Linked DNA regions of Elephas maximus indicus. The protein of the gene in region 2 binds, or shares a complex with, the protein of the main gene of each other region. Links are inferred from orthologs where the notes say so. Each region holds a gene or a part of one and is shown on either strand. Other genes may lie near its edges.

Region 1 (10,811 bases), about 190 Mb from region 2:
ATCACTGAGTTGTACATGTAGAAAACTGTTGAATTCATTGTTTTGCTGTGTATATTCTCAACAATAACAAAATAAAATTTTAAAAGAGAAACATAAGGAAAAAAAAAATGTGTTGTGGGAAGGGTGCCCTGGCTGTCCACTCAGCTGGCCCCCAGGATCTCTCAGGGACCCTGAGACACGCCCAGAGCCACCTTGGGCTGCTTCAGGCGGATTTCAGTTGGGATCTTTGGGGGTGGGGCCTAGGTGTTTTCCGAGCCCCCACCCTAAGTGATTCTCATGTCCAGCCAGAGTGGACAAACGCCCCTCCAGTAGACGACTCCTTCTAGGAAGTCTCTGCCGCCCATTTGTCCGTCTGTCATGCTGTGGTGGCTTGGGTGTTGCAGTGACGCTGGAAGATACCCCACCACTATTTCAAATATCAGCAGAGTTGCCCATGGCAGACAGGGTTTAGTGCAGCTTCCAGACTAAGACAGACTAGGAAGAAAGGATTGGCGATCTACTTCCAAAACACCACCCAGTGAAAACCCTATGCATCACAACAGAGCCTTGTCCAGCCCACTTGCTTTGGACACACCATCAAGGATCAGCAGCTGGAAGAGGACATCATGTTTGGTGAACTAGAGGGTCAGCAAGTACAATGGAGACCTTCAGTGAGACGGACTGGCACAGTAGCCTCCATGACGGACTCAAACGTACCAATGATCATAAAGATGGCACAGGACAGGGCAACATTTCATTCTGTTATCCATAAGGTCACCATGAGAACAGATGGCAACGGACGACCGAGGTGAGTTTTCACTGCTGTGCTCGCACTATGGCAGGCAGGGAAGGCTGGTGCAGACACAAGTTCAGGGCACCCATCCCCAAGCAGGAGTGCTTTCAATGCTATCCACCCTTGATGAAGGTGTGCTGGCTGGGGGTTGGCAGAAGGGAAGGCTGAATGAGGGCTGGCAGGAAGAAGCCTGAAAACCAAGCCCAGAACATCAAAGGGCAGGAATGCCCCAGGACCCAGCTGCCCAGAAAACGGAGAGGGACCAACCATACCCCAAGTACTCACAAGGAGCTGCGCCAACTTCTCTACAGCAGGTGAGAGCATCCTGCCACTGTCCTCTGTTCCCTTGTGACCCTTCTCTTACTAAAGGATGGAATTGGGCAGTTGAAGGAAGCATCCCTTTTATCCCTCCTTCCTCTGTCCCATCCTGGCCTGGCACAGCAGATGCAAGATGAAACCTAAATACGAACGAGTGCACTATTGGCTCACAGATGCCTCCATGAAACGCAGGAGCCTCATCTCCCAGGCCCCAGGAAAAGGGGGTTATCTTTCCAATCGGCTCCTTTTCATCAGCATTGAGCACCAACTTGAGGCAATAAGCCCTGAAGTCAAGAAGGGGATTAGGAATAACCTGCTTGCACCTTCACGAGGGTTTCTGGATACTTCTACCCAATTGTCAGCAATCCCACCCCACTGCCTCTCCCATTCTACCTGTTCACTGCTGTCCTCGGTGTCTAGGACCGGACCTGGATCCACAAAAGGGTGAGCGCTATCCTTGTAGAAGTACGCAATGGGAGAGGGGGAGATAAGGGGGAGAGAGCGGATGGAATCCACGCACCAGCCTAAGGGAGAAGCAATGTGTGTAGACAGCAAGGTAAGAAGGGCTGAGGTTTCAGACCACCTGGCCACTTGCTTTCCTGAGTCCCTTTGGCATTCCTCACAACTGGACCAATGAGCAACATCATGATAAACGGAGAAAAGATTGAAGTTGTCAAGGGTTTCATTTTACTTGGATCCACAGTCAACAGCCATGGAAGCAGCAGCCGAGAAATCAAATGATGCATTGCATAGGTAAATCTGCTGCAAAGAACCTCTTTAAAGTGCTGAAAAGCAGGGACATCACCTTGAAGACTAAAGTGTGCCTGACTCAAGCCAAGGTATTATCAATCTCATCATATGCATGGGAAAGCTGGACAGTGAATAAGAAAGACCGAAGAAGAATTGACACCTTTGAATTGTGGTGTTGGAGAAGAATATTGAATATATCATGGACTGCCAAAAGAACAAACAAATCTGCCTTGGAAGAAGTACAACTAGAATGCTCCTTAGAAGCAAGGATGTGAGACTGCATCTTACGGACTTTGGACATGTTGTCAGGAGAGATCAGTCCCTGGAGAAGGACATCATGCTTGGCAAAGTACAGGGCCAGCGGAAAAGAGGAAGACCCTCAACGAGGTGGATTGACACAGTAGCCACAACAATGGGCTCAAGCATAATAACGATTGTGAGGATGGCGCAGGGCGAGGCACTGTTTTTTTCTGTTGTGCATAGGGTCGCTATAAGTCAGAACCGACTCAATGGCACCTAACAACAACAACTACGGCGTTCAGTTACAAGCCTCTACTATCAAGTAGCCCTGAACCATATCACTTGGGAGCACCTCCTCACCTGGGTGCACCTGCTCACCTGGGTGCACCTGCTCACCTGGGAGCACCTCCTCACCTGGGTGCACCTCCTCACCTGGGTGCATCATCTCACTTGGGAGCACCTCCTTATCTGGGTGCATCATCTCACCTGGGAGCACTTCCTCACCTGGGTGCACCATCTCACCTGGGTTCACCTCCTCACCTGGGTTCACCTCCTCACGTGGGTGCACCTCCTCACCTGGGTGCGCCATCTCACCTGGTGCACCTCCTCACCTGAGTGCACCTGCTTGCCTCTCCTCACCTGGGCTCCGCCGCAGCCACTCACAGTCCTGCACTTTCATCTTCCACATCAGCTCCTGCAGGGAGAGCTTGGCGTGCTTCCCCAAAGAGATGAATGTCTTCACGTTCCTGAGGAAGCGGCACTTATTGTGACTGGAGCCCCAGAGACCAGGGGGCACCAGCCGGTGAAGACACGCCCGTACGAACGTGTACACCTGCCAGGGGCTGCTGTGCTGGCGGAGCAGCTGGACCACGCACTGCAGGCCAGCATCCTCCTCAGGGGCAGGCTTCACTGCAGGCCCCGGGGGCTGCTCCGGGGTCCCAGTACCCGCCCCGCCAGTACCCGCAGGGGTGGCCATGGCCGAGCCCAGCCTCGGGCAGTGCGTCCTGAGAAGGACGCTGTAGGGACACCGCGCGTGGTTCCCAAGCAGCTCCTGGAACAGGGGCCGCATTCGCCAATAGCGCGGGGTCAGGCGCCGCAGCTGCGTCTTTCTCCACGCCGGCTTCGTGCGCAGAAAGATAGTCTCCACTAGCCTTCGGGCCCCAGTCAGATTGCCCTGCAGGGAACTGAGGAGAAAGGTGCTTGGCAGCCTCTCCTTGGCCCCCAGGCAGTAGAGAAAGCGCTTGGTCTCCACGTATGCCTGGGGAAGCAGTGACAGTGGCGGCTGCGCGGACGAGGGGCCTGCCCCACGCTCCTTGACCCCCAGCGTGGAAGAACGACGCCTTCCAGCAATTTCACCCTCCCAAGACACGGCTTTCGCGGCGGCTCTCCTGCCAGGTGTCACCGCGTGGGGATCGCTGTCACTCTGCCCACACGCCCTATCCAGGTGGGCCCAGGACTGTGGTACCTGCCCTGGCTCCAGGGCTAGGCTGTGCCTGGATCTCTTAGCCAATGGGTGCCGCTCACCCGCGCTGTCCCAACGCCGCCTCGTGCCCCCCACGGTTCTTCGCGGGGCCCCGCAGCCCGGCTCCGGCCCCCTGGTGTCTCGCCCGCAGAGCTCGTAGAGCGGCAGCCCGCACACCTGGTAAGCGCAGCTCGGGGCCACCAGAAGGTAGAGCGAGCAGCGCGCCAGGAGGTGGGCCAGCACGTCATCGCCCACGCGCTGCAGCAGCAGCCCCCAGGCGCCGCTGCCACGCAGCGTGTCAGTGACCGTGTTGGGCAGGTAGCTGCGCACGCTAGTCGTGAAGGCCATGGGCGGGCCGCCGCGGGCCTCGTCCAGCAGCGCGAAGCCGAAGGCCAGCACATTCTTCGCGCCGCGCTCGCAGAGCCGCTGCACGACCCTGGCCACCAGCTCCTTCAGGCAAGACACCTGGGGAAGAAACAGGAGCGCCTGAGTCGCGGTGGAGCGACCGGACTGCCGCGGTCCCCCTTGAGTGACGCTCCCAATCTCCCCGTCCCCTGGTGGCCCACCTGGCGAAAGGAAGGGGCCGTAGGGGGCGGCGGCGCACCCCAAGGCACGCACACCAGGCACTGGGCCACCAGCGAGCGGAAGGCCGCAGGGTCCCCGCGCCGCACCAGTCGCCGGCCCTCGGCCCCCAGGCGCTGCGCGAACGTCGCCAGCGGCAGCACCTCGCGGTAGCGACCGCGCAACAAGGCGCGCACCGCCCGGCAACGGGGCGCGCGCGGCATCCCAGGTTAAAGACCGAGCGGGGGTCCAGGGGAGGCGTCCCACGTGCTCCCAGCTACCGGAGGTGGCGACCGCGCGAGGAAGAGGTGCAGGCTCCAGCGCGTGCCGCAAAGAGGTGGCAGGTTCCGGGAGGAGGAAGAGGCTCAGGCTCCAGCGCGCGCCGCGGATAGGGGGCGGGGCCCGGGGCGAGGGGGCGAGGCCGAGGCGGGTTCCGGGGGAGGAAGAGGAGCCGTTTCCTATGCGCGACGAGGGGATAGGGCGGGGTCCGGTACAAGGGGGAGGAGCCCGGAGTGGGAGGGCGGAGTCCGGGGGGCGACGGGGTGGGGTTCTCTCCGGAGGAGGTGGCTCAGAGCAGGTCTGAGGTGGGCAGGCCCGGGATTGAGCGAGCTGGTAAACGGGGAGGCGTGTCCTCACCCAGATTACCTTTCCATCTGACCTGCGGAGTGGCAGTAGTTTCTGCTGTTTGCGCCATGGTGTCCACGAGGACCTGGCGCAGAAATGTTTAGGGACGTGTCCTGGATTGTGCCGCTGCCCTGGGCGGCCTGGGCAGTAGTCTCCCACGAAGGGGCGGACAGCAACCATTTCAAGGCCGGTGCCTGGTCCAGAGGCAGCAGCAAGGGCCCCACTGTGGAGAGGGCCTTAGTCAACCAAGGCCCTGGGGTTACCTGAGGGTGAGACGAAGTCGGGCTGGGGTGCCTGGGGGACTCTGGTGCATTCTGCGCCCGCTGGGGGAGAGGGGCCTTGTGCTTCACCACTTTTTCAACTGAGCTCTGAATGAGCCCGGGGGATGGCTGCTGGGATTTGGATGGAGCAGGGTCTGGAAGGAGCAGGGCCGTAAGTCCACCAGTACCTGCGAATGTTAGACCATTGAAGATGGGAGAAGGGCGACATGGAAGTCAACACTCACTATGGAGGGTAGGAAGGCCCTGTGAGCACAACACAATGGCACCAGGAGGGCCAGGCAGATGCTTCCAGAATGCTGTCTCCTGGCAGGAGGGAGAGCAAGCCCTGCCCCTCCAGGGAACTCTGTCTCCTTGAGTCCTAGCCCATACATACTCTTGGCCGTATTTCCTCTTTTTGGGTTCTTAGGCTTCTTTTCAGAGCCCTGGGAGCACAGTGGTTAAGTGTTCAGCTGCTTACCAAAAGGTCTGGCGGTTCAAACCCACTGGCTGCTCAGAGGGAGAAAGATGTGGCAGTCTGCTTCCATAAAGATACAGCCTTGGAAACCCTATGGTGCAGTTCTACTCTGTCCTGTAGGATCGCCATGAGTCAGAATCCACTTGACAACAATGGGTTTGGAGGGGAGGGAGGCTTCTTGCTGGTACTGACAGTCAACACGCCAACCTGGCTCCCTGTTAATAACTCTGGAGAGTGGGTCCCGTCGAAGGACAGGAAGAAATCCCATGTTCCCTGTGGGGCACTGGATCCACACACATGCGATGACTCACTCAAGAGCCACGGAGTGCCTCATCGTCCCAGTGCACAGAGCTGGAGGCACCATCAAACAGGTCAAAACCAAAAAACCAAACCCAACCCACTGCTGTCAATTCTGACTCATAGCCACCCTGTAGGACAGAGTAGAACTGCCCCATAGAGTTTTTCCAAGGAGCGTCTGGTGGGTTCAAACTGCCGACCTTTTGGTTAGCAGCCATAGCTCTTAACCACTACGCTGCCAGAGATTCCTAGACAGGTCAAAGGACCTCGGTAAAGCCACGAAGCTGCTGGAGAAAATGGCCCAGGCACTTCTGACTTCAAGCCCACCCACAGAGACCTGCAGCCACCTGTGTAACCCCCTCTCCAGAAGTGGGATAGCAGTTCCTATGATGTCTCATTGTATCAGCACCTCCTTCCAAGAGAACAACTTAGAGACATAATGAAATTCTATCCAGGCCCAGACTTCATGGGGTGTTCAAGTTTGAATCACTAAGAAATGGGAGAATTTATGGGTCTCAGGAGGCCTTGTGGGGATGATATACTTAAGTCTGGTCAACACTACAATGCTGAACAAATGTACCCTTTTGCTATGTTAAGAAACTCGGAGGGGAAATTGCTTTTTATTCATGACTGTAGCATTTAAACAGCCTCTGCTGCCTCCCTTGACAGAAAGGTTCTTCATATTTATCACGCTCACTGGGTTGTCTGGCCCAGCCTTGTAAATACTCAGGATTAGAGGAGACTATTTTAGAAATTCCATTTAGTGAGCACTGCAGAAGTGCTTTTTAAGGGCTATGTTTGAGAACTGCTCATTTCTGCCACTAGAGAATTTGGCACTGTTTGAAAATTTGTTCTTTTCTGACAAAGAAGTTACTCCTTGGCTCACCCAGAAAATCTTCAGTAATAAAGACTAAAAAACCTAGCATTAGAAAACAATGACTTTTTCAAATATATGAATAGAAGAAACTGAGGCAGAAAAGTACACCCATGGAATAAATACCATGTCATTTGTAAGAAGGCTTTTCCCAGCTTCTAATGGAAATTGTTAATATCCAAAATAATGCTGTTGTTAGGATCCGTCAAACCGGTTCCAACTCATAGCGACCCTACGTGCAACAGAACTAAACACCGACCGGTCCTGCGCCATTCTCACAATCGTTCTTTGAGCCCATTCTTGCAGCCCCTATCTCAATCCATCTCATTGAAGGTCTTCCTCTTTTTCTCTGACCCTCTACTTTAATAAGTGTCTTACACAAATACTATAAATGGGTGGCTTTGACAAACAGAAATTTATTTTTTCACAGTTCAGAAGGCTAGAAAGGCGAATTCAGGGTGCTGGCTCTAGAAGAAGGCTTTTTCTCTCTGTACCCTCTAGAGGAAGGTCCTTATCTCTTATGAGCTTCTGCTCCTGGACAATCTTCTTGTCCCTTGGCATCTCACTTCCCCTATCTCTGCTTCTTATCTTGCTTGTTTAACCTCGTTTGTGTCTCAAAAGAGATTGACTCAGGATACACCTATACTAATCCTGTCTTATTAACATAACAAAGACAGCCAATTCCATAGGCATGTCATTGTTGTTGTTAGGTGCCTTCCAGTATGTTCTGACTCATAGAACCCTACAGGACAGAGTAGAACTGCCCCATAGGGTTTACCAAGAGCAGCTGGTGGATTTGAACTGAGGACCTATTGGTTAGCAGTTTACCTCTTAACCAGTATGCCACCAGGGCTCCAAAAACCCTGTGCTGTTGAGTTGACTCTGACTGTGACTCATAGCAACCCTATAGGACAGAGTAGAACTGCCACATAGAGTTTCCAAGGAGCACCTGGTGGATTTGAACTGCCCACCTTTTTGTTAGCAGCTGTCACACTTAATCACTATGCCACCAGGGTTTCCAACCATAGGCAAAAAGATTAGGATTTACAACACACATTTTGGGGGGACATAGTTCAGTCCATCACACAAAGCATGATGTTCTTCTCTAAGGATTGATCCCTCCTAATAGCATTTTCAATATTCTTCACCAATACCATACTTCAAACACATCAATTCTTCTTTGGTCTTCCTTACTCACTGTCCTGCTTTCACATGCGTGTAAGGCAATTAAAAAATACCATGGCTTGGGTCAGGCACACCTTAGTCCTCAAAGTGACGTGTTTGCTTTTTAAAACTTTAAAGAGGTCTTTTGCAGCAGATTTGCCCAATACAATATGGCATTTGGTTTCTTGACTGCTCTTTCCATGGGTGTTGATTGTGGATCCAAGTAAAATGAAATTCATGACAACTTCAGATTATTACATGAACAGTTAACTGTCTTTGAAAAGCTAATGCTAATCTTAAGCCGTTACATCAAAAAACATGCGAAAAAAAAAGTTAATATTGTTGGCTGACATGTTGCTGTGATGCTGGAAGCTATGCCACCAGTGTTCAGATACCAGCAGGGTCACCCATGGAGGACAGTTTTCAGCTGAGCTTCTAGACTAAGACAGACTAGGAAGGAGGACCCGGCAGTCTACTTCTGAAAAGCATTAGCCAATGAAAACCTTATGAATAGCAGCAGAACATTGTCTGATATAGTGCTGGAAGATGAGCCCCCCAGGTTGGAAGGCACTCAAAAGACAACGGGGGAAGAGCTGCCTCCTCAAAGCAGAGTCGACCTTAATGACATGGATGGAGTAAAGCTTTCAGGACCTTCATTTGCTGATGTGGCACTACTCAAAATGAGAAGAAACAGCTGCAAACATCCATTAATGGTCAGAGCCTGGGATGTACAAAGTATGAATCTAGGAAAATTGGAAATTGTCAAAAATGAAATGGAACGCATAAACATCGATATCCTAGGCATTAGTGAGCTGAAATGGACTGGTATTGGCCATTTTGAATCAGACAATCATATAGTCTACTATGCTGGGAATGACAACTCGAAGAGGAATGGTGTTGCATTCATCATCAAAAAGAACATTTCAAGATCTGTCCTGAAGTACAACGCTGTCAGTGATACACCTACAAGGAAGACCCATTAATACGAATATTATTCAAATTTATGAACCAACCACTAAGGCCAAAGACGAAGATACTGAAGATTTTTATTAGCTTCTGCAGTCTGAATTTGATCAAACATGTAATCAGGATACATTGATAATTACTGCTCATTGGAATTCGAAAGTTGGAAGCAAAGAAGAAGGATTGGTAGTTGGAAAATATGGCCTTGGTGATAGAAACAATGCTGGAGATCGAATGATAGAATTTTGCAAGACCAGCGACTTCTTCATTGCAAATACCTTTTTTCACCAACGGCGACTATACACATGGACCTCGTCAGATTGAAAACAAAGGGATCAAATCGACTGTATCTGTGGAAAGAGAGGATGGAAAAGCTCAATATCATCAGTCAGAACAAGGCCAGGGGTCGACTGTGGGAGAGACCACCAATTGTTCATTTACAAGTTCAAGTGGAAAATGAACAAAATCAGAGTAAGTCCATGAAAGCCAAAATATGGCCTTGAGTATATCCCACCCAAATTTAGAGACCATCTCAAGAACAGATTTGACACATTGAACACTAATGACTGAAGACCAGACGAGTTGTGGAAGGACATCATACATGAAGAAAGCAAGAAGTCATTAAAAAGACTGGAGAGAAAGAAAAGACCAAGATGGATGTCAGAGGAGACTCTGAAACTTTCTCTCGAATGTCAAGCAGCTAATGGAAAAGGATGAGTTGATGAAGTAAAAGAACTGAGTGGAAGATTTCAAAGAGCAGCTCAAGAAGACAAAGTAAAGTATTATAATGACATGTCCAAAGAGCTGGAGATAGAAAACCAAAAGGGAAGAACACGCTCTGCGTTTCTCCAGCTGAAAGAGCTGAAGAAAAAATTCAAGCCTCGAGTTGCAATAATGAAGGATTCTATGGGGAAATTATTAAACGACATAGTAAGGATCAAAAGAAGACGAAAGGAATACACAGAGTCATTATACTAAAAAGAATTAGTCAATGTTCAACCATTTCAAGAGGTAGCATATGATCAGGAACCGATGGTACTGAAGGAAGAAGTCCAAGCTGCTCTGAAGGCATTGGTGAAAAACAAGGCTCCAGGAATTGACAGAATATCAACTGAGGTGTTTCAACAAACGGATGCAGCACCAGAAGTGTTCACTCATCTATGCCAAGAAAAATGGAAGACGGCTTCCTGGCCAACTGACTGGAAGAGATCCATATTTATGCCTATTGCCAAGAAAGGGGATCCAACCAAATACAGAAATTATCGAACAGTATCATTAATATCACTCATCCACCCACCAAAGCGACCCTTAATATCACAGGCAAGCAAAATTTTGCTGAAGATCATTCAAAAGTGACTGCAGCAGTATACCGACAGGGAACTGCCAGAAATTCAGGCTGGATTCAGAAGAGGATGTGGAACCAGGGATATCATTGCTGATGTCAGATGGATCCTGACTGAAAGCAGAGAATACCAGAAAGATGTTTACCTGTGTTTTGTTGAGTATGCAAAGGCATTCGACTGTGTGGTTCATAACAAATTATGAATAACATTGCAAAGTACGGGAATTCCAGAACACTTAACTGTGCTCATGAGGAACGTGTATATAGATCAAGAGGCAGTTGTTCGGACAGAACAAGGGGATAGTGAGTGGTTTAAAATTAGGAAAGGCGTGTGTCAGGGTTGTATTCTTTCACCGTACCTATTCAATCTGTATGTTGAGCAAATACTCCAAGAAGCATTTACTAATGAATATCAAAGACCACAGCCTTCAGTATGGATTGCACCTCAACATAAAGACAACAAAAATCCTCACAACTGGACCAAAAAAAAGCAACATCATGATAAAAGGAGAAAAGACTGAAGTTGTCAAGAATTTCGTTTTACTTGGATCCACAAACAATAGCCATGGAAGCAGCAGTCAAGAAATCAAAAGACTCACTGTATTGGGCAAATCTGCTGCAAAGGACCTCTTGAGAGTTTTGAAAAGCAAAGATGTCACCTTGAAGACTAAGGTGTGCCTGACTCAAGCCATGGTATTTTCAATCACAT
Region 2 (11,421 bases):
CGAGGCACTCGTCATAGGCCTCCTGATACTCCTCATGGGGCTTGACCATTATTACGCAGGTGGGGCGCTTGGAGCCAGCCGCTGCTCCCAGGTCCTACAGAGAAAAAGATGGGCTATTTGGGAAAGAAGGCCACACAACCTGTATGCCAGGAGTCACAAACTGATGAAGGGCAGTGATGGAGAAGGGCCTAATCTGGTCCACACACAGGAAAGAAACAGAAGTGCAGAGAGGTAACTTACTGCACCCCAATGAGGAAGCAGCAGAACTAAGAATGGACTCAGGCCTATCTTCACTGCAGAGCTTGTGTTTTTTTTCCTACTAGGCAACCCCTCCCCCAGAGCTGACCAGGGTTGGCAGGGTCATGTGCTCCTTACCGTTTTAGAGGGAATATAGACATAGGGCAAATTCCGGTCCTCACACATAACTGGTAGGTGGCAGTACACCTCAACGGGCAGTGTGTCTCCCGCCAAAACCATGATCCTAAAATGAAAGAAATCACGGTCATTTCTGGCCTGTTCTTCCTTTTGGAATCAAGTGCTGCCTCAGGACTGGGTCTTGGGGATACAGAGGCAAATGAGATGACCTTGCCTTCAAGAAGCCCAGTTACTAATATTGGAATGTAGCCTCTGAAAGTGGGTGCAAAATTGTGTGTTTGGTTGAGTGTGTTCTTCTGAAGAGATGGTCTTTATTTTTTTAATCACAGTTTCAAAAGTATGTCTGACCCAAGAAAGCTGAAGAAGGACTAAGCAGTAGAAGCTGACATGGCAACGTTTATGCCACCAACTGGTATAGTGCTGGGACAGGAAAGGTGTGGCGGGAGGGGGGGCGGGCCCCAAGGAATAAGTGCTCAGCTCTCCTAGGAGACGCAAAAAAAAAAAGCCTGAGGAGGTGACACTTGAACTGAAGGTTGAATGATGTCTGTCTGCAACCATGGTTGGATGGGGCACTGGAGATACGGAAAGCATTCAAAGCTGAGAAGCAGAATGGAACCACAAAACACGGGGGTTGTTGGCCACCTGGGATGGATTTGCAATCCAGGGGTAGTAGGGTGGAAAAGAAAGCTGGAGAGACAGATGGGGGCCATACCTGCCAGAGGGTCTTGAGTACCAAGGCTAAGAAGCCTGGGCTGTGTCCCATGAGTGATGGGAACCACTAAGGGCATGCCAGAGAATCCTCGGGGTTCTCGACTAGCAAGGTTTGCCTTGGGGCTCTGGGCAAGGGCCACAGGAGGCCTGAAGACACAGAGGGACAGGCAGACACAAGAAGTCTCAGTTCAAAATGCTGTTTCTGGAGAGGTGGAGCCAAGATAGCAGAATAGACACTTCGGTGAGCCCTCTTTACAACAGAGACCCAAAAAAACAAGTGAAACGAGTATATTTATGACAAGCTAAGAGCCATGAGCATCAAAGGCAAGCTTAGAAAACGAACTGAGGGGCAGGGGGAGGAAGAGACAGTTTACCAAGTTATTGGACCTGAATCGCGAGGAGCCCTCAGGAACCATTCCCGAGAGCGGCGGCTCGGCCGCAGTTTCCTCAGGGAGAAGCAGCCAGCCACACAGCCTGCTCACACCTCTGGAATCTGAGGAGAACGGCACTCTTGGCAAAAACTAAGTACTTGCGTATAATTTAACCCCCCCCCGCCCCGGACCCCCAGCTGGCTTCAGCAGCTGAATTCCCTGGGCCTGAGATAGGCCCTGTTGAGCACCTAGAGCCATCCTCCCGGCCTTGGTGAAGGAATAAATTTGCAATTAGGGGAAAAGATAATTTGCCAGCTCCACTAACCGGGGGAGCTCAGGACAGAAGCAGCTCCCGTCCAAGTATAAACAGTCTGTGGACTTTGAGTACCTTTCCCGTCTGCATGGACCTGGGTGAGCCTATCTCAGGAGAATAGATCCTTGTTGGCAAACTCCAACTGTTTCAGCTGTGCGGCGGCAAAGTGGGTGCTTGATGTTTGACATTGCTTTGCCTATTGAACAGGGTCCTCACCTACCCACATCAGGGGCCTAAGGACTGGTAGCTCCACTCAGGTCACCCAGCCACCCGCGACAGGGGTCCAGGGATAACTGGTACCTCCCAGTCCTTACAACCAAGAACACTGGGTGCCCATGGTCCGTCTGCAGAACCCACCCACCTGTACACTCTAGGGAACAGGGACAGGCTTTCCTCAGAGACACATGGGGAATGATTCTTAGCCCCGCCTTGTTCAGAGCATGACCCCCTGCTGCAACCAGATACTGGTATCTACACCAATCATCCCTGCCCCTCTAAGACTGTAGGACAGAGCCTATACTAACACACTTGATGATCAGCTACCTGGACACCTGAGCTGAAGTCATACAAGAAAAGTGAATGGACTTCTAGACTAATACACCTGATAACAACTCTAACCATCTGGGAAGAGGACGTCAGAGCCCCAAAGGCAGAAATAATCAAGCTAGCTCACTCAGGCAACCCATTTGGGCATATCAAAACAAAAAGCAAGAAGCTATGACACAGTAAGCAAACATAAAATTAATAAAATAACTTACAGATGGCTCAGAGACAACAGTCAATATCAAGTCACATAAAGAAACAGCATGATCACCTCAACAAGCTCTAAAAACAAAGAATCAAGGGATCTTCTAGATGAAAGTGCCTTCCTGGAATTACCAGAGGCAGAATACAAAAGCTTAATATACAGAACCATTCAAAACATCAAGAAGGAAATAAGGCAATACGCAAAACAAGCCAAGGAACACAGAGATAAAGCAATTGAAGAAATTAAAAAGATTATTCAGGAAAATGCTGCTTCTGTATTCTAGTTTTCTTTTGGCATCTTGGCCTCTACTACTCTTCCTTTAAGTGTTGGTGTTCCCCACACTGTGTGCTGACAACTCCTAAATCTGTTCTCTCCAGCCCGGTCCTCTCAAGCTCCTAGCCCACGTGGCCACCTGTGCTGCTGAGTAGCACTGGGGGCTGCAGAGGGGTGTTGGGGGCTGGGGGTGTGTATCTCAAAGGGACCTAAAAAAAACTGTCTAAAACCAAACTTGAGATATTCCCACATAAACCTGGCCCTCCATTGTTGGCTCTCAGTGAATGGGGCCCTCCATCCATTTGGCTGGGCAAGCCAAAATCCAGAAGTCAATTGCAATTCACTCTCCATATCCTAAATCCTCTCAAATCCACCCACTTTCATTCTCTCCATCTCCCTCACCTCTTCTGGACTACAGTAACCTTCCTAGCAAGAGTTTTCCCAAATCTACTCTTGTCTCTCTAATCCTTTCTTTCTTGGATTGAGAAATGTTAAGGCATAAATATAATGTCACTCCCTGGCTTTAACCCTTCAGTGGTCCCTAAAGACCAAGTACAAAAACTAAAGTCCTTACCATTGTTCATAGGCCCCTCTTGTGGCTGGAACCACCTCCTTCCCCCTCATACCTCCATCAGCCCCTGCATCTTCAGGGTTCAGCTCAAATAAAACTCCCTGATGCACGACCTCCCCGCGACCCAGGTCAAACTAGGTCTGACACCCAACTGTGCACCAAATCCCCCAGCCTTATTTCTTGAGCATCTACAGTGTGCCAGACGCTGGGGATAAAGCAATGGGAATCCCTGTTCTCAAAAAGCTTATGGTCTGGACTGCGTGGGAGGCACTGGAGATAAAAATGTAAATACAAATTTCAGATTCTGTTAAATGCCAGAAAAGAAGCAGAGGAATGAAGTCTTTCTCACGGCACTTTTCCTTCGTGATTATCACAACCTGTAACTGTGTTCTGATTATTTGCCCAATGTCACTGCATCCCCATAGGCAGAGTGCTTGACAAAGCCCTCAAAAAACATTTAGTTGCTAAATGAAGGGAGAGGGGTCTATCCGAATTGAATTAGATGATACGATTAGCTTCCTTCTGGAGTTCACTTTGCTCATGGGGTCCCTCTGAGCTCCTGCAAATGGTATGTCGGTATCTATACTGAGTGAAACTTACCGACTGCTTTATTATAGGGGACAGTCAGCCCACTCGACTTTTACAGAGCACCTAAGTTCACCGTTTAGAAACGCGAAACGTGGCGGAGAGGGGAGTCTCACCCTTTTTCGCCTTTGTTGATAAACTTCTGAACCTCCTTCACGCCGCGCCGAATCTGCTTCTGCTTCACGGCTGCAACGACAAGAGAGTCAGTCGGGGGTCTCGCACCGCCCCCGCGCCCCGCCAGCCCCCGCGCCCGCTGCACCTTTCTTGATGCACTTGTAAAGCTTCCGCGTGAGGCGGCGGGAGGCCAGGGGCTGCGCGATTGGGTTCAGGTTGACCAGCAGCTCATGGTACGTGCGTTCCCCACAGGACGCCTCTGCAGGAGCCTCCGGCCCGTCCGGGTCTGGCTTTATTTTGGTCATAGCGGCAGCCACGGCAATACCCACGCCGACTCCCGGGAGGCGAACCCACGCGGCAAGCCTCTGCAGAAATCACTTCCGGGTCGTCCCACTGTGCGGGAAGCCAGCCGTGCGCTACAACCAATTGGGAAACTAGGTTCAGGCCAATCGTTGACGGAGAGGGAGGCGGAGTCTTGGCCCTAGGAGGCGGGGCCACTTCTATTGGACAAAGCGGATTAGGGGCGGGCCCGGGGGGGGAAAAAAAAAAAGAACTAAGGCGAGGGGCGGGGCCTAGGGGGTGGGGCGGGAATAGCCTGCACTTTCCTATTGTCTCCTATTGTCTGAGAGTGGGGGTCGCGGGGAGCGGGAACAGGAGGAAGTACCTGTGGGGGCGTGGCCATGCCTGACGGAACGGGATCCACGCCCGATGGGCGGGGTGTGCGACCATAGTGCAAGAACTGGAAATCTGTGCTAGCGTGATTCCGGACCAATTTAGTTAGGTCTGAAGTTTCAGGTTGTCAGTGCGGAGCCTGGTCAGGTCCCGGCTCCTGAGCTGGTCCTGGGTAGTGTCTGAGTGCTAAAGGTAAAGCCTGACACTGCTAATGGTAAAGCCTGACACTGCTAATGGTTTCTTCCGTTTTTGCATAGTGTCTCTCCATTTGCTTTCTCATGGCCCGCGTTGCACGGCTGTGGAAGGAAGATACAGAGCAAGGAATGGCCCCACTCGTTGACCGCTTTTCCCTAGATAGCCCCTGGGCTCGCTTCGTGTCTTCCTTCAGGTATCTGCTCAAATGTCACCCCATAGGACAGGATCCTCTGATCACGTTATCCAAAGCTGTGGCCCCTTCCGGCCTCCCACCTGCATCCCTTATCCCTTTTATTTTCTTAATAGTTCTTACCACTGTGCCTGGCATTTCACACATCGCTGAGACAGAGCTGGGTATGAAGGACAAGGGAGGGAAAGGCATTTGGGTCTGAGATTTGGGGCAAGAGGGGTGCAGGAGAGCGCTGAGGAGACAGACTGATTTGAATGGATCTGTAGAGGGATGGGGGCGCTGGTCAGGTGAGCAGGCCTGGGCTGGTATGGATCTTGGTATCTTTGACATAGTTCTTTGTCTTGAAACCAGACCAAAAAATCCAAACCAGTTACCATCAAGTCAGTTTGGATTCTTGGCGACCAGATGCGTGTCAGTAGAACTGTGCTCCATAGGGTTTTTAATGACTGGTTTTTGGAAGTACATTTCCAGGCCTTTCTTTCAAGGCACCTCTGGGTGGGTAGATTTGAACCACCTTTCGGTTAGTCGCCTGCTTGATTAATAGCCTTAACCTTTTGTACCACCCAGGGACTCCTGTCTTGGAACACACTGGCTGGATATTAATTAGATAATTGCTACCAATTAATTGCCTTCGATTATTCAGTGGTAGGCCTGCCATTTTTGTGGTGATGTAACAGGTCAGTAAGTGGAACTTTTGAAGTGTGTGGGAGGCCATGGAGTTGGAGCATAGGTCAGTTAAGCCAACTTGTCCAACTTAAAAATGTACTTATAAAATTTTTTTGCTTTGGAATTTCCTGAGGTGGCCTCTTCCCGATCCTTAGGTTGACAAGTCACTCTCAGTTTTTGCCTCACTGCTGACAACTTTGCAGTAACCATTTCCCACCCCCAAAATCTCCCCTGCCATGCCCTTCCCCTGGCCATCCTGGAGCAGCAGCTCTGCTCCTCGCTGGGAAGGCCTCTCCACGTGGTCTGCAAGGCTGTGAGACCAGCTTTGTGGTCTCCTTTGAACCTATGGCAGGGTTTTCTGTTCCTTCCCAAGGGACATTCCTATGAACAGATTCAGTCTTGTAGGACTGGTATGAAAATGTACCAGGGTCACAAAGATGAGAAGCTCCCCAGATGAGTGCATGGGGCATGATGAACTGTCCAGGGGAGCAATGGAGAAATTCTTCTTGGAGAAACCTAATTCAAACATATTTTTTTGGTTGAGGCCTTGACCTCACCAAGGCCTCAAACCCATTGTCATAGAGTCGATTACGACTCATAGCAACTCTATAGGAAGGAGTAGAACTGCCCCATAGGGTTTCCAAGGAGCAGCCTGTGGATTCCAACTGCCAACCTTTTGGTTGGCAGGCAAGCTCTTAACCATTGCGCCGCCAGGGCTCCTCTTACACAGAAGGAAGAGGGAAATGAATGTTTGTGTCCCCAGCATATTACATGTAATATCTCATTCAATGCTCACTGAAAATACCATTATTATTCACAGTTTACTGAAGCTCAGAAAGATGAGTAGCTCGGTTCAGGTCATACAGCTAGATTTGAACCACGGTCTGCTTGTCTCCAAGCCCAGACTCTCCCCATACTAGGGGAGTTGGTTTTAGTGCAAAGATTGTGAAATGTGGCTGATAGTGAAAGTGTAGGAACCTCAGTCTGGCCAGGTCACAAGTGTCAGCTTTTTTGTGTCCTCAGTAAACCACGCTGTGTATTTCTAAAGCCAGCTTCAGAGGTCTGTGCCAGATTCAAGGTGGTTTGTATGATTTTTACCAATTTTTTTTGTTAGAATGGTGATAAAGGATAAAATCAGAGGCTTCTGACAGTATTTGTAAAATGACTGAGCTAGCTAACTCTAAGAGCTCAAAGTAACCTTTCCCCCTTACTCTACCTTTGTTGCCTAGAAACCAACCCCTATTATTGTTAAGGAATTAAGTTTCTCTCTGGTCAGGTTAAAGAATGTGAATACCTCCCAGAAACTCATTTGTTCCCTGATGGAAGCTCTTTGTTCCCAATCTCCTCTAGAGATTGACGCTCTGAGCAAGGTAACTTTTAACAGACCACTCCGGAAATTTTCCATCATGTCATTGCTTTATTACCAACGTGAAGCCCCCCCTTGACCCCATGCCTTTCAGTTATGTCTTTTAGCCAATAGTGTATTCACATAACCAGTAATGTCAAAGATTATCCGTTACTTTGTCTTACCTTTGACTGACTTCAGTCAGTGTAAACCAATCAGAATATTGTGTTTTGTACTTCCTCCTCCAGCCCTATAATCTCGTGCCTCCAATTTCTCCCCCTTGGATTCACCTGTTGCATTTGGTGGGACGCCACGTTTTCTTGTTGCAGTGTTTTTTTGTGCTGCAGCTGGCTCTATTCCCTCAATAAAACTCTTTCTTTACTTTGGATTTTAACCAGGCTTTATGATTTTGCTCTACGACAATGGTCACACGAGCTTCCATGAAGCAGCGTAGAGTGGGTGAGAACATAGTGACTCATGGGCAGTAGACCAGAGTTCTCAATGTCAAATGTTGTTGTCATTAGCTGCCATCAAGTCAGCCTTCAACTCATGGCGACTCCATGTGTTACAGAGTAGAACTGCTCTATAGGGTTTTCTTGGCTATAATCTTTATGGAAGCACATCACCGGGCCTTTTTTCTGCAAGAGCCTCTGGGCAGATTTGAACCGCCAATCTTTGGGTCAGCAGCCAATTACAAATTGTTTGTACCACCCAGGCTCCTAAATGCCCAGTGACTTTGTACAAGTCGTTTAACCTCTTTGGGCTTTAGTGCCTTATCTTTAAAGTGAAAAAGTTAGGCCTTGCTGGACTAAGGTCCCATCTTTTAAAAAATTGAGGAGGATTTTTTTTTTTTAATATACTTCACATACTGTATAATTCGCCCACTTAAAGTGCAAAATTCAATGACTTTAATATATTCACAGAATTGTGCAACCATCAAATTTAGAACATTTTCATCACTTCAAAAAGAAACCCCATAATTTTAGCTATCACCTCCAAACCCCCCAGCACCCCCAGCCCTAAGCGACCACTATCTGCTTTCTATTTTCTATGGATTTACATATTCTGAACATTTCATATAAATGGAATCGTACAATATGTAACCTTTTGTATCTGGTTTCTTTCAGCCAGCATAATGTTTTCAAGGTTCATTTGTGTTGCAGCATGTGTCAGAACTACATTCCTTTTTATGGCCAAATATTATCCCATTGTATGGATATACCAGATTTTATCCATTCACCAGTTGGTGGACATTTGAGTTGTTTCATCTTTTGGCTATTGTGAGTAGTATTGTTATGAACTCTCATGGTCAAGTTTCTATGTGGACATATGCTTTCATTTCTCTAGGAGTGGAATTGCTGGGTCAAATGGTATATTGATGTCTAACTTTTTGAGAATTGCCAGACTGTTTTCCACAGTGGCTGCATCATTTTACATTCCCACCAGCAACATATAAGGGTTCCAATTTCTCTACATCTGTGCCAAAACTATTACAAAATCTAATAATGTATCTCTTAAACACTTGCCAATACTGGTTTTGTTTCTTAATTTTATTGTGGTGAAATGTATATTAAAAAAGCTTGCCATTTTAACTGTTTTTAAGTGTACAAGTCAGTAATATTAATTACATTCGCCATGCTGTGCTACTGTTGCCAGGTGGAAACCCCAGGTTCTGCTCTGCGTGACTCGTCTCAGCCAATAAATGAGAGACTGAGGTGGGAGAGTAGAAAAGAGCCTTTATTTCGTTGCACAAGGAAAGGAGACAGTCGGGGCTGCTGCCACCAAGATTGCTCAATGAGGGTTAGGGGGATGGGTTTACAAGTAGGAAGTTCATACGGATTATATCAACAACATTCTTAATCGAACTGTGAAGGCACAATGAGGTTTGCATATAACTTCATGCATCTCATGTTTAGAAAATGGCTGCTAAACTACACCCAGAGGCAGGGAAGTTACTGTGTATAAGGTCTAAAAATGTATCCTGAATGTCAACATGGCACCTCAACCAGTTTCCACCAATTTCCTCTAGTTTTAGGTCAACAGATAAGGAGAGGAAAACCAGGATTTTAATGTAAAGTTAAGGAGCATACCAAGCAAAGGAACCAGGATTCTAGTGTAAAGCTACGGGGCATGCCAAGAAAGCTGCTTGAGGCAGTGGAATTGTCTGCAGCCTGGGGACCTCTGTCTTACTACCATCACCACTGTCAATTTTCAAATGTTGTACATTACCTCAAACAGAAGCACAGAATTCCTTCAGTAATAATTCATTCCCTCTTCCCCCCAGTCCCTAGTAACCACTAATAAATAAGCTTTGTCTCTATGCATTTGCCTATTCTAGATGTTTTATATAAGTGGGATCATACAGTATTTGTCCTTTTGTGTCAGGCTTATTTCACTTAGCATGATATTTTCAAGCTTCATTCATGTCTTGGCATATATCAGAACTTCATTTCTTTATGGCTAAATAATGTTCTATTACATGGTATAGATATACCACAATTTTTTTTATCCATTTGTCAGATTTTGGGCACTTGGGTTGTTTCTACCTTTTGGCTATTATCAATAGTACTGCAATGAGTTTTGGTATACTTGCATGTGTTTGGGTCCCTGCTTTCAATTCTCTTGAGTATATACCTAGGAGTGAAATTGCTGGGTCATATGGTAATTCCATATTTGACTTTTTGAGGAGCCGTCTGTTTTCCACAGCAGCTGCACCATTTTACATTCCCATTAGCAATGGAGGAGGATTTCAATTTCTCCACATTCTCATCAACATGAAGCACTTACTGATGAAGGTCAAAGACTACAGCCTTCAGTATGCATTGTACTTCAATACAAAGAAAACAAAAATCATCACAACTGGACCAGTAAGCCACCTCATGATAAATGGAGAAAATATTGAAGTTGTCAAGGATTTCATTTTACTTGGATCCGCAATCAACACCCGTGAAGGTAGCAGTCGAGAAATCAAACAACACGTTGCATTGGGCAAATCTGCTGCAAAAGACCTCTTTAGGGTGTTAAAAAGCAAAGATGTCACTTTGAGGACTAAGATGTGCCTGACCCAAACCATGGTATTTTCAATTGCCTCATGCATGTGAAAGTTAGACAATGAATAAGGAAGACTGAAGAAGAATTGACAGCTTTGAATTATGGTGTTGGTGAAGAACATTGAATATACTGTGGACTGCCAGAAGAATGAAGAAATCAAGCATGGAAGAAGTACAGCCAGAATACCCCTTAGAAGCAGGGATGGCAAGACTTTTTCTCACATACTTTGGACATGTTATCAGGAGGGGCCAGTCCCTATCATGCTTGGTAAAGTAGAGGGTCAGCAAAAAAGAAGACCTGCAATGAGATGGATTGACGCAGTGGCTGCAATGATGGGCTGAAGCATAATAACGATTGTGAGAATGGCACAGGACCAGGCAGTGTTTCCTTCTATGAGTTGGAACCGACTGGACTGGGACCTAACAACAACAATAGTGGAAGTGAAATGGCATCTCATTGTGGGTTTGATTTGCATTTCTCAAATGACTAAAGACTTTGAGCATCTTTTCATGTGCTAATTGCTGCCAATAGAGCATTTTAGCCATCTTTTTTGGCCGGTGGCTGTGGAGGGAGTAAATGGTATCTTTAATTTCCATTTCTTTAATTCTGTGGGAGGCTGAATATATCATAATTTCACAGGTCATTTGTATTTATTTTGTGTGAACTACCTGTTCAAATTTTTGTCCAATTTTTCTATAGAGTTGACTCATAGCTTTAGAAAAGCTTTTTGTATTTTTCGGGAAATTTGTGCTCTATATGATTTATGTGTGGCAAATATAGACAGAAGCTTTTAACCAGTTTGTCATTTGTCTTTTGACTGTTATAGCAAAGTTATGTTTAGGTAGTTAAATGTATCAATCTATGGCTTCCAAGTTTTGTGCCATGTTTGAAAAGAACTACTTCTGGCATTGCCGTGAGTTGGAGCTGACTCACTGGCAACTGGTTTGTTTTTGTTTACCCTGTTATCGTGTAAGTCTCTTCTATGTTTTCTTCTGGTGCTTTTACTTTTGATCATCTGTGTTCGGAGCAAGCAGGGCTCCAGCTTTCCTCTTTTCCAGATGACTAGCCGATCGATGGTCCTGGTGCCATTTCTTGAATTCTTTGTCTTTTTCTATCCACTTACGTAAAATGCCTCTATTGTACATTAGATTCTAAAATGTACAGGGGTCTATTCCCAGTCTTTCTATTTTTTCTCTAGCACTGATTTAGGAAATAATATTGGAGTCATTATTTCCTGTCCT
Region 3 (9,880 bases), on a different chromosome or scaffold from region 2:
ATCAAATGCCACACAAAGTCCAAATTCCAGTTAAAAAGATCTAGGTAACAAAGTCAGAAATTCCCACTTAAAATGCAAAACACCTTAACTTGATCCTTTATAAAGTCTGTGCTTCATTTTTTAAGCTCACAGCTTTCTTACTAGCGAGAAATCTAAGAATTCAGTTTTCCCTCAGACAGGCCTGCTGTTCACTCAAACCTTTATAAAGAAATGCTGGATTTTTTTGACACCTGATTTGTTTCCTTCCGGTGTATTTATATTTACTTACATGTACCACCTAATACCAACAATACCAATATACTATACTCCTTTCCCTGTCTTTGAACACTAATCAAGCTCTATAAATGCCATGTAATAACAATAATTGTAGAGAAACCACTGAATTTGAAGTCAGGAGACCAGGGTTCTCCCCTCTTTGTATAATGTTAGTAAAGTTGTAATAACCAGGGATCTCTTAAGTAAAAGGTCCTCAATATATGCAATGTCAGTCTGCCTTTTCTCCTTTATTTAGATTAGGAAAATTTCCAGGCCAAAGTCTCTTCATTTCAGTCTATACGGCAGGTAGCAGAGAAACAAGGCTCCCTCCTTTTTTTTTTTGTAAAATAAAAACAGGATTGCAGTCAACATTAAAAACAAAAGTGTGCTGTCACATTATAGGGATCGCAACTAGCGTCACATAACAATATGTGTATAAATTTTTGTACAAGAAATTAACTTGAGCTGTAAACTTCCACTTAAAGCACAATAACAACAAAAATAGAAATAGTGGCTGTATTAATTTACTTAGATGCTTAAAGCTTCAATACCAGATCCTTTTTCTAGTCATATGCAGAATTTTTAATATTTCCTAGGTTAGGGTAACTCTTTAAAATCCTTAGGATCCAGTGCTAGGAACACTGCAAGTAAATAGACAAAGAAAGAATAACTCCCTGACAGGAAACAAATAACTCATTTCACCATTCCTCTAGGCCCTGGTGGCACAATGGTTAACCAAAAGACAGGCAGTTCTAATCCACCAGCTGCTCCTTGGAAACCCAATGGGGCAGTTCTACCCTGTCCTATAGGGTAGCTATCGAGTTGGAATCAACTGCATGGCAATGGGTTTGGTTTGGTTTTCGTTCAAAGTAATTGATTCGAAAATCATCTTCTGTTGACTATGACCCAAGTCCAGAGATTTTTTTTCCTCAGCAGTCCTGAACTTTTCTGTGGAGATGGTCAAACAGCAGGGTCCAAAAGAAATGTATCTACTCCTTTTTAGGACCAGTCTTCATAAGCCACATTTCAACTTAAGTTACATCTGCTTCTGGACTCTAGAATTTTGATGTAGTAGAAAAAGAAGACTGGAGAATTAGAATACTACATTTTTCACAAGGAAATTTTTATAAACCAGTGGCACTGAACAAACAACATTCAAATCCAATGTCAAAAGCCATGAATGAGCAGACTGGGAAATAATGGGTTGATTAACTTGACAAGGAGAGGAAGAAGCAACTTAGCATTTCTTGAAGGCTTGGATATAGTATTTTCTCATTGGATTCAAAATCCTTTGTGGGTGCCCATGATAGAAGCTCAAATCCTATGAAATTTCTCCCACTTTTTTTTTTTTAACCATGATACCCAACAGTAATTTGAAAAAGAACAAAAGTCCCTACTTGAATCTCTCATATCTCATCTTCTAAATTAAAAGCCATGTAGAGTTCCACAGTAGCTGCCAAAGAGAATACAAAGTTAGGTGTAGGTAAAAAGATAAATCCTTGATGGACAGACCTGAAAGCCTGGGAATATTTCCAGAGGGACAGTAAACATGTAAGAAAGCACTTACGTTCATAAAGTTTGGACAAACACTGTAGATAAATTTCAATTCACTGAAACGTACCAATTTTAGAGTTGGAAAAGAACTTAGAAATGATGAGAAAAACGAGACCAAGGAGACGAGGTGACTTTACTAAAGTTATACAAAGAGGGGAGAACCCTGGTCTCCTGACTTCAAAGTCAGTGGTCTTCTCTCTACAATTACTGTTATTAGTTTTTCAAGCAACACTTGCATTTTGAGTCAAAATGTCATTTCAAGGGGCAAGAAATTGTTTGAGTGACAACGGGGGTATATTCCAGTGAATGCTGACAGTTGTAGAAGGGTCCTTCTCAACCTTTCTTCCCTTCCCCAGCACCCTCCCGTAAGCTGCTCAAGCAGTAACTGAAGTTATTCTTCCAGGTGATCTTCTTGTAACTCTCTGGGGTATTCCCCTCTCCCCATCTACCTCATGTTTTGCTTTTTAACCAGCCCTTTTCTCCCACAACACACAAAATGAAAGCTCTTTCAAGTTATTTTGTCTTTAATAACATGACAGTGATTCACAATATGAAAATTCCAATTTGTTCCCTTTAAAGGAAATGCTACCGTGATTCCCTAACACCAACAAGATCAAATGCTGAATTCCAAACAGCAAGGGTGGTAAACAAGGCTTGAAGGCTCACAGGCTGCAGAGCTTGGTTACCCAAAGTCTCCAAGGGGTAGCAGACGGCAGAAGAGACACCAAATATGAAGGACTCTCAGAGGACAGGACGCGGTTGCTGGGTCATAAGCACCTTGAAGCGTTTCTTGATGGTGATTCGGTGTCGCGAGTATTTGTCGTCTGGGGAGAACCGAGCAGGATGGGCTGAACAGGTCTGTTGTCCCATAGGGTCAAGCTTCTGCTCGAGGAGGAAACAGAGAACACGGTCTCAGTGGTGGAAAAATTCAATCACCGGCGCCATAAGAAAGATGGAGACTGGGATACGGTGCGGGCAGCGCGTAAAAGGCAAAATGAGATTCGGAGACCCGCGGGTCAGATTAAAAAGTCGCGCGCTCGTGCTTCTACCATACCTCGGGTCTGGGCTTTCCGGTTCCCCTCGCTCTGCTAGGCAACCCGGTGGCGAGTGTCAACACCTCCTTCCACCTCCATTTCTCGCCATACCCACTTACACCCTGTTTCTTCTCCTTACCTTCAGCGTATAGACCCGATCTCCCTCCTCGTTAAGATAATATTGGAGAAACATGACGACACTTAGGCCAGACACTCCAACTGCCTCTACAACCGCTTCTGCCACTCAGTCTGCCCCACTGCCACACGCCTTTGTCAATTTCCTTCCTCTTAAAGCCGGAAGTCTGTCTCAAGGCATGCCGGGAAATGTAGTCCACTGTTGACATCCTCTTCAACTGACCAAAAGGGGGCGCGCTAGTGCAGGATCTGGCCTGGGGCTATAAGTTGCAACTTTGCAAACTTTCTAAAACACGTGCAGTGTGCCCACTGTGTGCCAGGCACTGTTAGGCGTTAGAGGGGGGTGAGGATGGATGCAGGTTGGATACTGGTGAATAGAATCCTGCCTTTATCGCTAGATGCACACCCGTTTCAGGAGTAGTGGGTTTCTAGTGCTTGGTGAAACAAGTGCTCTAGGATTCAGTGCCCCTTTATCTTAGGGGAGAAAGAAGAAAGTTTTCTTCCCTCCCCTCTTTTACATCCGGTTCCCCCGTTCCTTTTCAAAATATTGGCGGTAAAGAGTGCATGATGGGTATTCACTCTTCGGTAGAAAGAATGGAGCGTGAAGTTATTTTATGAAACTGGTGAAGTATGTTTTAGTGATCGAGACAAGATTCGAACTCAAGTCTCTTTACCGCAAATTCAGCGCTTTCTTATATGGTGAGTAGCTAATAATAGCATAATAAGATGCATCTCCTAGGGGTATTTCGAATTTTAAAAGAACGGAGAAATTCTCCTTATATGGCTGTAGCTTAAAGAAACGAAAACTGGAACCAAGATATTACAAAGACGATCATTGCAACATTATTTAAAATGGCAAACACTTTGGAACATATATTAAGTTTATAACCAGAAAAATCTAAAAGCCTTTTTTCTTTTGTAAAATATAGCTTGTATTTGTAGTTGCATAAAATATCTCTGCAAGAATTCACAAGAAACAGATAATATTGGTTTCCTCCGGGTTGGAGAACTAAGGGCCGGGAGGAAGACTTGTATAGTCTATTCTGCACAGTTTGACCTTTGAACCATGCTACTGTATTACTGTATTACCCATTTTAAACATGTACTTAAAGTTATTTTTTAAAATAAAAAATATTTAACAGCAAAATAAATTAGCAAACAAAAATAAGGACTTGCTGATCTTGAGATTTTAGGTTACGTGGCAGTTTTTGATATAGTGAGGCTTTTCAATAAAGGGCATCATTGGGAAGTCAGGGCCTGCTGTAGGCTGTAGAGCTTATGGAAGTGGGCTGTTTGGGGACTGCAGGACAACTTTCCAAGGAAACAGTATGCATAGGAACACCCTGGATCTTCTGAGATGATCCTAATTTCAAATATTTAGTTCCCTTGATCCGTAAGTTCACAAACTATGTGCTCTGAATTTGGTTTAGAAAATATCATCTTCATTGAATTAAGTCAAGGGTCTACAGCCAACCTGCTATTAAGAAGTCAGTTACAGAACTGGGTGAGGTTGAAGGGCACAAAACTAGGTATGTTGAAGGACTGAAAGGGAACCGACTGGTAAAACTGCAGTGTTGGGAGTCTGAGAAAGAATTTACAAATTGTCCTGAAGAGGTGGATATGATTTGTTTTGTCAAACTCTAGTTTAGAGGGAATTCTTGGTATTGTCTACTTTACCAGAACCCTTTATGGGCTAGCTCCTCTTCTCCCCTCCCCCGCTGCGGAATGCCTTGAGCCCTAGATTCTAGTTCTGTTTTGATCCGATCTTTACCCTCCCCTCCTTGGATCCCTGTGTATCTACTGGAGCCAGGTTTCTCTCTGGGTGCTGGACCTGACTGTCTTATTCTGGAAGCTTCCAGACAGCCACAGTTAGTGCCCATACTTGAGGGGATGGCTTCAGATGGAGGTAAGTCTGCAGGGAGTATGGGGGAAAGGGGGGACTCCCTGCCACCAGCTCAGATCTTTGAGGATTCAAATTTGACACTTCACTTGGGGACAAGCCCTTGGGGAGGCTGGGGAAGGAGATTAGATGCTCAAGACTGGGGTTTGGGGAAGGAAAAGAGGCTCCTTGAAGGCCACTCAAGGCTCCTCAGAGAAAGTGTGCTGGGTATAGAGAAATGATGGCAGTTAGCAACTTGATTCTCTCAAAGAACAGAGGTGTGTGTAGTGGGGGTGGCACAGAAAGGACTTAAGGGGAAGGCCTAAGCTTCTGTGTCCTTCTCGTTAGGTAACTGGAGTCTGTCTAGGATTTGCCCTGAGAATTAAGCTGGGGCCACTCTGGATCTTATGAGGAGAGTGGGCCGGGGAATGGGGGGGCAGTGAGGGGTAACCTTAGCCAAAACTGTTCAGTGGGGTTGCCTGTTGCTGAGTTTGCAGAGAAATGTCCTCCTGAAAGCTGGTCTGGAAAGTACTGTAACTACCCCTGCTCAAAAGCCTCATGGCTCTTTCCAGCCCCAGAGATGGTTTCTCTTTCCATTCAGCAAGCAGTTTTCCTGGATTCATCAGGGCTGAGAAGGGAGGTAACTCCAACTGGGTTGACAGCTGGGGCTTCCCTGAGATGCTCTGAGTTGTTTTTACCTCAGGAACTCAGACTTTCAGACCGATTTCATTTTGGCCAGCACTTTGTGGCATACTCCTGGCCCTCTGCTGTATGGTTGAGGTGACGAGTTTGCTCCTATTCCATGTTTCCTTGGCCACAAAGTGGAAGCTGAGAGTTGTCAGTTTGACAACTGTTGCCATGGAATGTTCTTTATAAGAGGGGGAGGACAGTAGCATGAAATTAGGCAGATTATCTTCTATTATTGTTATTGAAAGTTCTGGGAGACACACATCCTGAGTAAGTACACATCTTGTGTATTGGTCCCCTTGACTAGCGTCGACATGAGCTCCTCGTGAGCAGGAACTCTGTTCCAGGCTTCATGGTCCTTCCCTTTGCACACGGTTCGGTCTTAGTGGGCCCTAAATTTCTAGGTTATTAGGAGCTCAAAGCAGAAGAACCACAGACAGTGTCCTTTGCCAAATTTTAACTTTCCCAGCAGTTACTTAGAGCTCCCTCCCTATTCCTCCAGGAAACCCTGGTGGTGTAGTGATTATGCGCTACAGCTGCTAACCAAAAGGTTGGCAGTTCGAATCCCCCAGGGTTCATCGGAAACCCTATGGGGCAGTTCTACTCTATCTTACAGACTCGCTATTAGTCGGGAATCGACTCAATGGCTGTGGGTTTGGTTTGGTTCTATACTTCCCCCCCCATTTTCTCTCTAATCATTCTTGATTTATATAACAAAATTTCTGGGAACCAAATATCTAGTCCACACCACCTCTCCTGGTAACAGCACTTCTGTGAGTGGTGGCAGGGACCACAGAGCAGCTGGGAGCAGGGCTCAGGTTTGAATCTCTGCTTGGAATGGAGGGGAATAGCAGATGTACATGTATGCTGGGTGGGATGTGTTATGGGGTGTAAGCTTCATGGGTCCAAGGGTCCTTGCTCCTGCTAGTCGATTGCATCTTTCTTCTTCTGTGTTTTAGGTCAGGAAAGAGAGGGGAGATTTATAAGGTAAAAGGAAGACTGAGGAGGAGATAGGGCTAATAATCTTTTTGAAACTGCCTCCTTAAGGGCCCTGTGGGTACCTGGAGAAGGGGCAGAACCTCTCTAGACTAGGTCTCTTACACGCTTGTGAGCCTGCTCTGGGCTGTTTCCTCTGCAGAGCTGGTGTCAACCCTGTTCCATGTCTTGGCAAACAGCCTATGGGGCTGGCAAGGAGGTCACAGGCAGTGATGGCTTGGGCTTGTCTCTTCGTGGCCAATAAGGGTCTCCATGTCTTTTTGGAAAGGGAACAATTTCTCTAGTGTAGTAATTCTCAGCTGGGAGTAAAGAACATCCAGATCACTTGTGGGGGCAGTTGCAAACTACATAAGTTCCCCGTCCATGCCTCTTCCCCCACCTGTTGAGAATCAGTTCTCTGGTTCTTTAGTGATTTAGGGGGACCCAGATGGTCTAATGCCAGTCTCCCTCTCTCCTACTCCATCCGCTCTTTTTGTTTGTCTCAACAGCATCTCCGTTGTCAGGACCGGATATGACCATGAAACCTGGCGCTGCCATGTCTCCTTTCCCTGCCCTTCCCTTTCCGCCACCTACTCCAGGCCCACCAGACCAGCCACCCTGGGAGCCACCCCCATGGCCTTCCATGCCTTCAGCCTTCTCTCCAGGCACCCCTCTAGTGCTGTCTGCTTTCCCCAGCCGACTGTTGATGACAGGGGATGGGGGCCCTGGCTCCAGTGGGCCCGGGGCTGGCAAGGTCATTGTCAAAGTCAAGACAGAAGGGGGGCCAGCTGAGTCCCCTCAAACTCAGAACTTTATCCTTACTCATACTGCCCTCAATTGGATTGCCTCAGGTGCTCCTCGCGGGGGCCCTGATGGTCCTCCACCTCAATTCATGACAGCCTCTAATGTGAAGAACATTCTGCCTGCTAAGACTGTTGGGGTGAGCCAGGAGGGGCCCCCAGGCCTTCTTCCTCAAGCTCTACCACCAGCGGCCCAACTGGCCCCCACCGTCCCCGTGGAGAAGGCTTGGCCAGGGCCACATGGGGCTCCCGGGGAAGGAGGCTCTGCAGCTGCCCCATCCAAGCCCTCACTGGGTGACCTCTCCTATACCTCCAAGGGCGTTTATGAGAATTTCAGACGTTGGCAGCGCTACAAAGCCTTGGCCCGGAGGCACCTATCCCAAAGTCCTGATGCAGAAGCTCTTTCCTGCTTTCTTATGTAAGTGGGGAGGCCTGATATTAATTATCCTAGGGCTTTTAAATACGGAGGACTGTGAGGTGATTAGGTTATTTATCTAAGAGTACTTGAAGGCAGGTCATGAGGGTAATGCAGATGCTATGAGAAGATAAAAGCACAATAATAATAATGATAATAAGCCTCTTAACCCACTTCCCAGTTTATAACATGCTTTCAGGTATCTTCTGTCAAGTGGCCCTCATAACCTGTGAGTTCAGGCAGGCAACTTTACCGTAATCCTTACATACAGAGAAGACTCAAGCTCAGAGAGGTTTCCTATCAGAAAGCAAGGAGCTGTGATTTGAATTGAGGTCTCTGACTGCATCATAAAGGGAGGAGCTATGATTTGAATTTAGGTCTTTGATTACATCATAAAGTGAAAAGCTATGATTTGAATTTAGGTCTCTGACTACAAGTGCCGTGATCCTCCTTTTCTCTTTTGCTACCTCTTAACATGAGTTGAGGCTTCCCAACTGGCCAGGACAAGGAGTGCTGGGCCATGACCCATTCCTGCAGGAAGAAAGGACAGTGCAGGGCCAGGCAAAGAACGTTGTGTGTACCTACCCTCACCTGCCCCCATTTTATTCAGGAGAATTCAAGTTGAATTAGGGAGGTGGTAGAGTGTGCTGGGAGTCTCTGGGTGGTGTAATGGTTAGCCAAAAGATTGGCACAGAGGTGCCTAAGAAGAAAGGCCTGGCAATCTACATTGAAAACCTGACAGAGCACACCTCTTCTCTGGCACACATGGGGTGCACCGTGAGTTGGCATTGACTCGACTGCAACTGTTTTGGTTTTTAGAGCATGCTTAGTGGTCAGGGGCTCCACTACTCATTAGATTTGTAATCCTGGCCAGGGCATTTAACATCTTTAACTGTCAGTTCTCTCATTTAAAAAGAGGATAATGATACTTACCTCAGATAGCTGCTGAGAAGATTAAATGTGTTTGTTATAGTGCTTAGCAAAGTGAATGCCTGGTTAAATGGTGGTTGTTGTTGTAGGTCCCTGGGTGGCGCAAATAGTTTGGGCTGGGCTACTAACCTACAAGTTGGTGGTTTGAACCCACCCAGTGATGCCGTGGAAGAAAGGCCTGGCTATCTGCTTTGGTAAAGGTTATAACCAAGAAAACCCTATGGAGCAGTTCTATTCTGTAACACATGGGGTCACGGTGAGTTGGAATCGACTCACTGGCAACAGGTTAAGTTAGGTTAGATGGTTGTTGTTAGCTGCTGTCGAGTTGGCCCTGACTTATGGTGACCATATTCACAGTGGGATTGGACCATTGTGATCCATAGGGTCTTCATTGTCTGGTTTTCAGAAGTAGATTGCCAGCCCTTTCTTCCTAGTCTGTCTTATTCGGGAGGATCTGCCGTGAAACCTGTTCAATATGCACACACACTTCTACTGACAGGTGGGTGGTGGCTGCACTTGAAGTGCATTGGCCAGGAATGGAGCCCAGGTCTCCTGTTAAGCAACCACTGCCTTCCATTAAATGGTAGCTGTTATTATTATTATAAAAAGGCAACATAGAAGAGGAAAAGAACTTAAAATAGACCAAAATATCCTTGCCAAGAGTGTGAATGTGTGAGTAAATGATTAGCAGAAGAGTCCAGGGTCATGTTACATTTATAAAGCAGAAATATTGGTCATCTGGGGAGTATTCAGTGCTTCTCACCCAGACCTGCTGCCTCTCTTGGGTCTGCACTGTGCCTTCAACATTTTGTATAAACAACTCTAGAACGCATACCACATTTTACTGGACTTCTAAAGAATTTACATGTTGCTTCCGCAGTGGTTGAACTCCTAAAGGAACCTCTCCCTCCACCTGACCCTGGAATGAATAAATCAAGAGACTTCCCCAAAATCCCAGTTTTAGACAATATCACTGATTCCCTGCTTTCTCGAGCCAACCTGGGATTCTCTCCCAGAGCCTGGAAGGCTGGATTTCTGAATCCTGAGCCAGCACAGGCCCTCATGGTTTGCATGGGACCTGTTTACTTTTGGTCCTGGCCTGCCTATTCCTGCTCCCACACTTAGGGGCTCTGGGCAGGGTCTTCCCCAAAGTGTAGTCCAGATGCTCTGAAACAGTCACCTAGGAAGCTAGTAAAATGCTCACTTTTGGGATCAT

What was found.
Region 1: NHP2 (region 2) and TERT share a complex: the UniProt entries of both Homo sapiens proteins name them as parts of the telomerase holoenzyme complex. The link is inferred for Elephas maximus indicus from reciprocal best matches to the Homo sapiens genes NHP2 and TERT.
Region 3: NHP2 (region 2) and NOP10 share a complex: the UniProt entries of both Homo sapiens proteins name them as parts of the H/ACA small nucleolar ribonucleoprotein (H/ACA snoRNP) complex. The link is inferred for Elephas maximus indicus from reciprocal best matches to the Homo sapiens genes NHP2 and NOP10.

The regions. Positions count from the first base shown.
Region 1 is NC_064820.1:12,463,355-12,474,165, reverse strand, and holds the start of TERT (telomerase reverse transcriptase), read right to left. Parts: upstream 4,443-10,811; 5' UTR 4,328-4,442; coding exon 4,109-4,327; intron 4,008-4,108; coding exon 2,720-4,007; intron 1-2,719. UniProt on the Homo sapiens protein: Telomerase is a ribonucleoprotein enzyme essential for the replication of chromosome termini in most eukaryotes. Active in progenitor and cancer cells. Inactive, or very low activity, in normal somatic cells.
Region 2 is NC_064820.1:198,294,379-198,305,799, forward strand, and holds the start of NHP2 (H/ACA ribonucleoprotein complex subunit 2), read right to left. Parts: upstream 4,476-11,421; 5' UTR 4,367-4,475; coding exon 4,207-4,366; intron 4,134-4,206; coding exon 4,064-4,133; intron 482-4,063; coding exon 376-481; intron 95-375; coding exon 1-94. UniProt on the Homo sapiens protein: Required for ribosome biogenesis and telomere maintenance. Part of the H/ACA small nucleolar ribonucleoprotein (H/ACA snoRNP) complex, which catalyzes pseudouridylation of rRNA.
Region 3 is NC_064828.1:23,977,376-23,987,255, forward strand, and holds NOP10 (H/ACA ribonucleoprotein complex subunit 3), read right to left. Parts: upstream 3,121-9,880; 5' UTR 3,037-3,120; coding exon 2,983-3,036; intron 2,692-2,982; coding exon 2,551-2,691; 3' UTR 2,304-2,550; downstream 1-2,303. UniProt on the Homo sapiens protein: Required for ribosome biogenesis and telomere maintenance. Part of the H/ACA small nucleolar ribonucleoprotein (H/ACA snoRNP) complex, which catalyzes pseudouridylation of rRNA.